Linked DNA regions of Xenopus tropicalis. The protein of the gene in region 3 purifies or fractionates together with the protein of the main gene of each other region. This does not show direct contact. Links are inferred from orthologs where the notes say so. Each region holds a gene or a part of one and is shown on either strand. Other genes may lie near its edges. The genes, in order: gnl2, dhx33 and usp36.

The links.
Region 1: the proteins of usp36 (region 3) and gnl2 purify together in Homo sapiens (affinity purification with mass spectrometry; 3 studies listed by BioGRID and IntAct, with this or other methods). This does not show direct contact. The link is inferred for Xenopus tropicalis from reciprocal best matches to the Homo sapiens genes USP36 and GNL2.
Region 2: the proteins of usp36 (region 3) and dhx33 purify together in Homo sapiens (affinity purification with mass spectrometry; 5 studies listed by BioGRID and IntAct, counting the BioPlex papers as one, with this or other methods). This does not show direct contact. The link is inferred for Xenopus tropicalis from reciprocal best matches to the Homo sapiens genes USP36 and DHX33.

The regions. Positions count from the first base shown.
Region 1 is NC_030678.2:84,731,461-84,735,117, forward strand, and holds part of gnl2 (nucleolar GTP-binding protein 2), read right to left. Parts: coding exon 3,572-3,657; intron 3,026-3,571; coding exon 2,886-3,025; intron 1-2,885. UniProt on the Homo sapiens protein: GTPase that associates with pre-60S ribosomal subunits in the nucleolus and is required for their nuclear export and maturation.
Region 2 is NC_030678.2:101,918,608-101,922,364, reverse strand, and holds the start of dhx33 (ATP-dependent RNA helicase DHX33), read right to left. Parts: upstream 2,814-3,757; 5' UTR 2,676-2,813; coding exon 2,474-2,675; intron 1-2,473. UniProt on the Homo sapiens protein: Implicated in nucleolar organization, ribosome biogenesis, protein synthesis and cytoplasmic dsRNA sensing. Stimulates RNA polymerase I transcription of the 47S precursor rRNA.
Region 3 is NC_030686.2:31,713,368-31,717,024, forward strand, and holds part of usp36 (ubiquitin carboxyl-terminal hydrolase 36), read left to right. Parts: intron 1-243; coding exon 244-462; intron 463-546; coding exon 547-657; intron 658-1,786; coding exon 1,787-1,889; intron 1,890-2,569; coding exon 2,570-2,637; intron 2,638-3,359; coding exon 3,360-3,430; intron 3,431-3,657. UniProt on the Homo sapiens protein: Deubiquitinase essential for the regulation of nucleolar structure and function. Required for cell and organism viability.

The DNA.
Region 1 (3,657 bases), on a different chromosome or scaffold from region 3:
ATTCGACCCGTTCGTGGGTAAGTAAATCAGCCCCATAGTCTGTCGAGTAATTCTGGGGTGTTTATCCGCCCAGATAAATTGAAATACTTTTCTCTGCATGTTGCTAAGGTCTTGGTCGGGAATAGGTATCGGTAATGTTCTAAATAAATATAGTATCTTAGGTAAAAGCGTCATCTTAAAAGCATAGATTCTCCCAAACCAAGATATGTCCATTTTGGACCATGATTGTAAGTTCTCTCTCGCCATTTTCCATAGTTGTGGATAATTGTGTTGGTATACAGTAGATACATGATTTGGGATATTAACGCCCAAATAATGGATGGTGGCCTTTTGCCATTTGAAATCAAAATTTTATTTCAGTAGCTTGACCGTATGTTGTGGTAGGGTGATGTTTAAAGCTTCTGATTTGCTATGGTTTATGCTTAAGCCTGAAATGTTCCCAAACACATCTAGAAGATGAATCAAGTTGGGTAGTGAGGTTAGTGGTTTGGTTATAGTCATAAGGATATCATCTGCATAAAGACATTGTTTATGCATTGATTGTCCTATTTGGGGGCCTGTAATATTTGGGTCCTGTCTGATGAGTTCCGCTAAGGGTTCAATTGCTAGAATAAACAAGATGGGGGATAAGGGGGGATTCAGACAAATTTTTATGGAAGTTTTGGCTGAATTTGAAAAAAAAAATGTATTTGGTGGGTCCCTAGTTTTAGCATTGATTTTAAGATACCAGAGCTATTATTTCTTGTTCCAGGACTAACTTGTGTGAAGGAACAGTGATGGCTAGTAAATTTCTCTTAGGGGCAGATTAAGCAAAGGTTGGAATGGGGGGGGGGTGGATACACTCCTTTCATGTTCTATCAACAATGAAAAAATAATTCTGGAAATTTTCCCATAATTATCATTCTCTAGATTCTCTATAATCCAATCCCTTCATAACTAATCGCTCACCCCCACTCTCTCAATCCATTCCTACAACTCGAATGACTACACTTTCCTTGTTAGATAAAACCTCCTTACCACTTCTTAGAGACTTGGGGTCCCTAAAGGTTCTTTCCATGGACCACTTTTCTTCTAACTATACACTTAATTTCTAGGTCAATTCAAAATCATTTTGATTCCAGTACGATCTTTATGTTGATGACATTTAATGTATCACTATATACTGATCCACTGTAACAAAAGCAGCAGAAAGGTCAAGTTTTAGCACAGAGAACTGCCCTATACATTTCGCAAAGGGACAATGGATGCTTTTGTAAGTTTCAGTTGAATGCAGTGCATAAAAAGACTAAAGTAGACAAAGTAGAAAGTTAGAGAAAAGTGGGTTAAGAGGTAGTAAACATATTCTAAATGTAATAAGTAGATGTAATAAGTGCATGTTTAAATGGGTTATTCACATTTGAGTTAACTTTTGGTATGATGTAGCGAGTGCTATTCTGAGACAATTTGCAATTGATCTTCATTTTTTATTAATTGTAGTTTTTTTTTTTTTTGGTTATTTTATTTTCAGTCAGGAGCTCTCCAGTTTGGAGCTTCAGCAGCTATTTGGTTGCTAGGGTCCAAGTTAGCCTAGCAACTAGGGAGTTGGATGAGAGACAGTTATAAGAATAGAAGAGGGCCTGAAAGTAACAGTAACACTGCAGCCTCACAGAGCAATAGTTTTTTTTGGCTGCTGGGGTCAGTGACCCCCATTTAAAAACTGCAAAAAATTGGAAGGCGGCAGCAAATAATTAAAAAACTGTAAGAAATAAATAATAAAGACCAATTGAAAAGTTGGTTAGACTTGGCCATTCTATAACATACTAAAAGTTAACCACCCCTTTTAAATCAGAAGGGAATATCCTGGTGGGGACAAAAAGACTGGAGGAGAGAGAGAAGTGCTGGGTGGCAGATGGTAGTGAACGGATACATTGGAAGCTATTAAATCAAAAGTGTAGCTGGCTGGGTGTGTGGTAAAGAGAAGTGAAGCTACCTGTTCCTCACGGAGTGGGGAGAATTATGACACTGCAGCATGGTTGGAGCTGGGCTTTGTTTTTGTGACAGGTGCAATGTTATATGCTCAAACATGGTGAAAAGTCATGAAACAGTTTTCACATTGTACATAAGTTCATAGAAAAGCCTTGCAGTTCAATACATTTTTTCATGTGTTTTCACCCAGGAAAAAAGATACTATAAAAAACTGGGGATAAAATGTAAAAATAAAGAACATTTTCCCCAAACTTTGATAAATCTGACAAATTAGAAAAATTATACATATGGGAAAACTATTTTTTTTTTTTTTTTTTTTTTACTAGTCCCTTATTGCAACAGTTATAACACCAATGATTCAGAAAAGCTTAGCCTATAAACTCAGAGCCAGAAAATGTTTTGAGGTCACTGTTTATGCTCAAGCACGCTATACCCTATAGGCCACATTAATCAGGTTAACTGCCATTGCAACTCTTGCCTAAAGTATAGCCAAAGCTAAGGAAAGTAGCAAGCAGGCACATCTGAGGGCCCCATATATGGCCTGATAAGCTGCCGACTGTTAGTCTGCAGCTTTTATGAGCCCATGTATGACCACCTTTACACAAATAAAAAAATAGAAGCAAGTACGGGAAAGTTATGTTCCAATTATCACCAACTACATCATCAAGGAAGCAGTATCAATAACGTTACATGGGGGATGCCATTCAGTAATACACAATTCAAGCCTAGAAGTAAGTACAATGCTTTAAACACATACATACATTCAGTAGCTGAATAGTCCAAAAAGCAGCTCAGTGGGAGAAATCTGGTCTGCATTAGATTGTTTCTGCTAAATTTTTTATATTTTGCAAATATGCCTGAAAAATCACACACGCTGTTTATGTTTAGTAGCAAACATTAAAACCTTAAGACAGACTTACATGAGGTTTTACACGATCATGCAGAAGAGACATAGGCAGCTTGCTCTGTTTCATCACCACTCTGTATGGATCTTTCATTACAGCATCCATTTCGTCCTGGAATTTTTGCAAAGACGACTGCTTAACAACACGGGTGTTCCCTATTCAAAAAATATTGGGAAAGTCAAGCAAATTGACAGCATCTGCGCTGAGTACAAACAAGTAAAGCGAATATATAAACGAATGAAGGACCAACACTCCATTTATCGTGAATAATAATTGTGCTGAAATATATATAGATTAAATGGTGGTATAAATAAATGATCATAAATATAACCCTCTTACATTTTTTCATATTTGGCACATAGAATGTTATTCTTATAAGACATTTAACAGTTTCGTAAAAATGGACAAACAAAAAGGTGGTAGTTGTAACCTGGAAAGACCACTTATGGGATACCTGTGCGATGAAAGTAAAGATCTCTATGGACAACTGCTTAAATATCAGCTGTATATAATTCTTAGTCTAATGTCAAATACTGCCAACTTCTTGTAAAGCATAACTGTTCGGTGGGCTTTACAATGCACAAACTATATTTAAGTGAATATAAGAAACATGGTATAAATGAAACAGAACTGGACAGAGCTTATTTCTGTAAGCAAAACATACACTTCATGATTAAATAAATGGGTCTGGGGATACTAACCAAACCATTTGATATTGGGTTCCACCCTGGCAACAGTTCCGGGGGCAACTGATGATTGGTGCTGCAGGGTTTTAATGACTTTGCCA
Region 2 (3,757 bases), on a different chromosome or scaffold from region 3:
GCTAACATATTTCGTGTGTGTATGCACTGAAGTTAAAAATTTACATACAAAGCAACAATAACTGATACAAGAGGTAAAGAAGGTCCTGCCCAAAAGTGTTTACAATCTAAAAGTTGGTTGTTGTAAGTGCCAATAAAGTGAACAAAAAGGTGGCCATAAACGTTAAGATACACTGGTTTGGCAAGGTTGCCAAAAGAGCAGATCTTTTTCCCCAATATCAGGCTAATTCCATGGCTAGGACCAATTTTATAAATGCAAAGCATTCACAGCATTTGTCCTTGAAAGTACAAAATATTTATTGTTTCATCAATTTGCCATCTACATCAACGCGTTTCGATCCATCTGGGAACGTCGTCAGGATGTAAAACAGAAAGTGAATCACATCTCTTAAGAACCCACACACCAAAGTGAACTACGCACACAAGTAGTTAAAGTGTAACATATTAGCAGAAACTTCTAAAAAAAATTATGTCCAAAGTGTTAAAGTTACAATGTAACATTGAAATTAATCAATATAAAAAGTAGCACTTCATAAAAATGCATCTGTGTCTATTATTGTATCAATCAAAACAAGTGCAAAATCTGCAACAAATTTTAAAAAAAAAGTTAATTACACCACACGTGTACCACATAAAGTGCACATGCTTAATAAAATATGCTAAAACACATGTTAATCATAAAACATAAGTAGCTAACATGTATCTACACCAACATATTCTCATAAATAAATCAATGCAAATGGTATTAAAGTGGACCTGTCACCCAGACATAAAAAGCTGTATAATAAAAGTCCTTTTCAAATTAAACATGAAACCCACTCATTTTTTTATTAACACATCCAAACCCATTATAAAAGCATTTAAAAATCCCAGCTGTCAATCATATATTGCCTGTCCCGCCTCTATGCCTTAGGCATAGGGGCAGGGCAGACAGTTACTTTCACTTTCAATTCAGAACTTCTTAGATGTTGCTGCTCTCCTCACATTCCCCCTCCCTCCTCACCATCTAATTGTGTAACCAGTGCATGAGTATGAGCATCAGGTCCCCCCATACAGGCACAGAAACAAGATTTTGGGGTGATACAAAGCTTGCCTTATAACAGTGTCCACAAAATGGCGACTGTCTACTTCCTGCAATTGTGAATTCCAAGGCTAAAGAAAATAAGATTAAAATAATTTATACAGTGTAAGTGAAGTTTATTTTACTTGACAAATACAATAGAAAAACAATTTGGAATTATTTCTTAAGGTGGCCATACACGGACCGATTTTTTACTTACAAACGACCGATTCCCGAACAATCCGATGCTATCGTTAAGTTATCGTATAGTTGGTGGTGTACGAACGATCGTCGGCCCACTAAACGAGCCGACATTATCGTCCCCAAAATCGATCGGCCAGGTTTAAAAATTTTGGTCGTTTAACGATAAAATCTGCCAGTTGGTGTGAGTGTCAGACATTTGTCTTTCAACGATTGTTCTCTGCGCATGTCACGATTGCCAGCAGCGGAAGTCAACGACATTCGATCGTACGTAGATGTACGATCGTACGTATTTTACGATAATGATGCGACGAAATCTTTCCCGAATTATCGTTGCCCGTGGATGGCATATCGTATGGGAACTCGATCGCCATACGATCGTTTGTCGATATAATCGTTCATTGCACAACGAGCGAAATCGCCTCGTGTATGGCCACCTTTAGGGTGACAGGTCCCCTTTAAGATTCAAACAATACCAATTGCGGAAACAACCACAAATAACTTCCATAAGTGTCTCATGTAGTAAACCCACTGACTAACAGACAATGATTATTGTAAAAGGGACAACTCATTATAATCAGGACATATATATATAGTTTTGTTTAATCTAGGTCTATCCATAGCAATGAGAGAAGCTCTAGATAAAAGCTGTCATATGATCACCCACCTGCTACCCTTAAACTACAACTACATCTATCTCCCAACAGCCTTTAGTTACATGCTAAAATATATACTGCTATAAAACACCTTCATAGGAGATCCAAAGTAACAGGTTTAGCATGAGAACCAGACTTATAAAGTTTATGGACATACTAGGGGGGCTTATTTTGAAAGAAACTGTGATTCTACAGGCAGCTGTAGATACAAATATGAATGATATTTCATTGGTTTCCATAGGTTACTGCCCAGATACAAATGTGTTCATAGATTAGCCCCAGATGTTTGGAATACCCCTGAAACTACCCTAGGGATGATTTAAAAGGCGTGTAACCTCTTTAGGAATTCAGGGAGGCCAACTGCATTTTGGGACGCAAATGGGGAAGTGGATTAGAACCCGGAAAGTAGAAAAACCTTCTCTATAGACTGGTACGCTGAGAAGCCCACTTAACTAACGATGGCTCAATTATTTATTTTTGCCCCATATTAAATATATGATCACATTCCCAGGCTGCCTTGGCTCACTGCAGCTCTGAACACTACTAGCATCACACACCTATGATCACTACACTGTCCAGCTTCCGAAGCTGCGCAATGATCTGAGACCGGGCCAGGTAGATAGGGAGACTCCGGCGCTGTTCCTCCACCGTCATTTTCTTAGGGCCACAATGAATCGCCGCCTGCATTTTGGGTTTGACCGGAGGGGAGCCCGGCTTAAACTTTTTAGCCGGGGGCTGTTTGTGGCCATGATGATTCATATTACCCGCCGGTAATCCGAACTCTTCTAGAACCGTAAGCGCTTCAGTAGCCCAGCATGTTCCTGGCGCACGAAAGAGACGTCATAGCTGTCCTCTGATACACGTGCTTCCTGTAGGAGAAGAAGCAATACCGGAAGTGCCTTATAGGTACTGCTTCACACGTAGGGCAGCCCTTCTGCTTTTCATTCAGTGGTCATGTTTACACTAGATGAACTGTATGGTGACATCATACAAATAACTTCGCAGTATGGTATAGGGAGTAATATTCTGAGACAATTTGCAATTGGTCTTCATTTTCTATTTGTAGGTTTTTAGTTATTTCAATTTTTTGTTCAGCAGCTGTCTAGTGTGGAGTTTCTGCAGTTATCTGGTTGGTAAGGGTCTAAATTACCTCATCAGGCAGGGAGTGGTTTCAAAGACTGGAATATGAATAGGAGAGGACCAGAATAGGAAATAAAGTTATTAAATGTTTCAATAACAGTAAAAGTGGTGCCTTTAAAAAAAAATTGTATTTTGGCTGCCGAGGTCAGGGACCCCCATTTGAAAGCTCTAGTTAGAAGAAGAAGGCAAATAATTGAAAAAAAAGCATAAATAATGAAGACCAATTGAAAAGTTGCTTAGAATTACCCATTCTATAACATACTAAAAGTTCTTTTAAAGGTGAACTGCCTCTTTAAGGGCTCTGGCACACGGGGAGATTAGTCGCCCGCGACAAAACTCCCTGTTCATGGGCGACTAATCTCCCCGAGTTGCCTTCCCCTGCCATCTCACCGGCGAACATGTAAGTCGCCGGTGGGATGGCACACGCGGCGGTGCGATTTCGGCAAATCGCTGAAACAGCCTCGCAAGGCGACTAATCTCCCCCGTGTGCCAGAGCCCTAAAGAAGCTTTTTTTTTCTATTTGCTTTCTGCTAAAGTTACATTTAGTAAAAATGAACATTTAATTGTTAAATCATTAATAATGTCAGGTTTCTATGGCACCATGGGAAGTTAAAGAACCATCTCGTGAAATCTGTTTTCAATAGGGGGCCTCTTTTGGACCAAGCTTATCCTGAAACGATCATTTAAAAATTGATTAGTCC
Region 3 (3,657 bases):
CCTACGGCAAATTTAACTTTGTGTTTGTGTGTGCATGGTAGGGACCTTTTAGTTTGTAAACTTGACCATGGCAGGAACTAATATAAATAATGGCAGTCTCTGTAATTAGCTGTTCATAAAGTTCAGAGCTTTAGAGAAAAAGAATAATAATAAAATCAGTGGCATCAGTAAAAGACAAGGGTGGACAATTTTATTTTCTCTTCTGATTCATGTTACTGCCTTCTGCCTAAATCTTTTTTGCAGATGTTGACCTCTCTACTGGAAGGTCAGATGGGGTTCCTGTTCCTCAAAAAATTCTGTTCCCAGCTGACAAGTTGTCCATGAAATGGGACCGAATCTCCAGGGTCGGGGCAGGACTTCAAAATCTAGGAAATACGTGCTTCCTCAATGCAACAGTTCAGTGTCTTACCTACACTCCTCCTCTTGCTAACTACTTGTTGTCTAAGGAGCACAGCCGCAACTGTAAGCTTTTATTGGAAATCTCTAGAGTAACTTGGATAAATTTAGTATATTCACATTTAAACGTTTATAACTTTTTACCTGTAGGTCAGCAAAGTGGATTCTGTATGCTCTGCATCATGCAAAACCACCTCATTCAAGTGTTTGCAAACAGTGGAAATAATGTAAAGCCAGTTTCTTTCATTCGTGACTTGAAAAGTAAGTGTGAATTTGATGTTTACTCATTAGCTGCATAGTGTTTCATGCTTCTATTTCTCTGATTAAAAAATGTAGTTGTATACTGTTGCTTTTTATTTTAAAGAGGTCTAACTATAATGCTGTTTGAAAGGAACCATGTATGGGAAAAAATGTCCTGCGCTTGACAAAAACAAACCATTTTGTCACTCTTCAAGCTGTCACTCCTACATTGAACCTTATCCATGTGTACGCACTGGATTTTGGGAGTTGGAGTTCCTTTTGCTTTTCCAGTATAAATGTGCACCATCCACCCTATCTTCACCTAGTAACTATCTGGTCTGAAGATTGAGAAGAATTCCTTATGCCTGCTAGCAGTCACTCTGCCTTTAGCACATTTCTCCTGATTGGCTCAGTTAGGTCGTAGACTGCTGCACTGTTTGCTTCTCCTGCTGATGTATATCCTTGTCTCTCTGCCTTCATTGTACATTTCCTGTTTGATGGTCGGCAGAGGGCTACTTTATGGTATGCTTTTCAGTTCCAAAAGAGGGGTGGAAACCTATAAAAAGCTCACCTATTCTGAATAGGGAAATGCAGAAGAATCTTTGTTCCATTTGTAAGTGATACATTCTGGAAGCTAAAGTAAGGGAATTGGGGGGATTTGAGACAGAGGTGCAGGAAAATGGTCAGTTCAATCAGGAGCAAGACATTTATTCCAATTTGTGGTTCCCTTTTAAATGCATGAATCGGATATGTGACTTTTTATTTCTAGCAGACATTGCTCAGACATTGTCATTCACATTTTTAACATTAGTCCTGCTAAATAGACATTTGGCATTCATGCTTGGTTTTCTGATCTGTATTTCAGGAATCTCCATAAACCTAAACATATTTGATATTAAACGTTAAAGAGACCTAGAGCTTTCCAAACCAATTGTATGTTTGCACAAATATTAAATATATTTGTGATATGTTACTCTATTACAATAAATAGGTGGTGTGTGTTTTTATCCTCAAGAAGTATATAGTGTCCACAAATTATTTAATGATCATAAAAGCATTTAGTGGAGCCATTGTTTGTGCTTCTTAACTTTACGTGAAAAAACATTTATTGCTTTTTTTAATTACACCTCTCACCTTTGGCAAAATCCAGAAATTGCACGTCATTTTCGATTTGGGAGCCAGGAGGATGCTCATGAGTTTCTGCGCTACACTATTGATGCCATGCAGAAGGCCTGTCTTAATGGATATGCAAGGTTTGTCTGCATTTGATTCTTCAGTCCGTTAGGGCATTTGACATTAAAGAATCTATTCTAGAATGGCTAAAATGGGCAATTATGTGACTATTTATGAAATTTCATGGTTTCATACACTTTTTTTCTTTTAAATGTGTCATGATGTTATGTTTGGCAAGAAAGAAAGTACTAGTTATTCAAAAAAATTTCAAGATCTGAAGAACAGATTTATGAGTAGTAATCAGCTTGTGTTTGTGAAGGACAAGACAAATGTAATTGCTTTTCATGATAAAGCAAGTGGAAACTTGAACAGAGGATTTGGCGTAGATGTGATCAATTTGTTTTTTAATTTTTAGGTATTCAAAGCAATATCTTATTCCATAAGTGTAAAGTAAAAGTGAACCATAGAGAGAACAAAATTAAAAAAAAAAAAATACCCATGGCCATTATCTTTGGCCATATGTTTGTGAAAAATCAAATGCTATTTAAACGGCTATTGTTTTGGATGGCTGCAACTTGTTTCCTGGCCTTCAAGTCTAGCGTGGAACAATCATTGGATTTTTATATAGTTGATAATATAAACTTAAATTTTAAACCAAGAAATCTGTCTTATACAATACTTCCCACTGCCTCCTATATTTGTCAATATACATTAAAAAAAATAAATAACATTGGAATATATATATTGTTCCTCTACCTAGACTGGATCGGCATAGCCAGGCAACTTCCTTGGTGCATCAGATATTTGGGGGCTATTTGCGGTCCCGTGGTAAGTATGGAGCTTCGTATTTCTCAGGTTTAAAGACACTGGGGGGGCTAATTATGAAAAATAGAGTTTGCTTTTTCCTCCATCGATTTGAGAAAAACTCAAATACTCACTGGAGTATTTTTTTTGAGACCTCGAATTGTCGGGATATATTGAAGATGATAAAACCAACAAAACATTGCCACAGAAAACTCTGCAAATAAAAGTTGGCCAGGTTCTGTAGCAGTCTATAGGAATAGTCTCAAAATAATGTTATTTTAACACATTGGAGTTTTTTTAGCCTCATTAAAATGAATGGAAGTATGTGAGCCAGCATGCAAATTTTTTCCCTCAAATTTTGAGAAATCTGTATTCTGTATTAATTTTTAAGGCATTTTATTTACATATTTTGGCTCAGGTTTAGTTGGATGAGAAAACGTAATTTTTATGCTTTGTCATGCGAAAAGTTATGGGCGAGATTCAGTTTTTAGAGAGAACATCTCTCCTAATTCATAAATTAGGTGTATCCTAACAGCATTGCAATGAAAGTTGGTAAAGGCTACAAATTACCCCAAAAAAGGATTAATGTTAAATGAGGTTAAGACCACAAACAAGTGAAAGAAAAAAAACACCCAGATTCACTATTGAGATTCAGGGTACAATTATTTTTATTTTTTCCCGTAAGGACCTATGTTTGTTTTTAAAAGTGCTATGCCAAATACTAATTATTTTTCTTTTTCTTTCAGTGACATGCTCTGTTTGTAAGAATGTATCTGACACTTACGATCCCTATCTGGACATTGCTTTGGAGATACGGGTACGCCTCTGTAATAATTTCTGTTAATGCTAAAACCACACATTGGTTTTTAAATCTGGTTAAATCATCTCCTATTTATTGAACAGCAAGACCTTATACTAAAAGCAGTCTACCATTAATTTCAGTGTGTGTTTGTAATCTGAATTTAGGTTAGAAAGATTGGTTAAGTTCCAGAAAATAGTTGTAATATGTACAGGAAGAAATCACAAGTGTTTTATATGTACGCT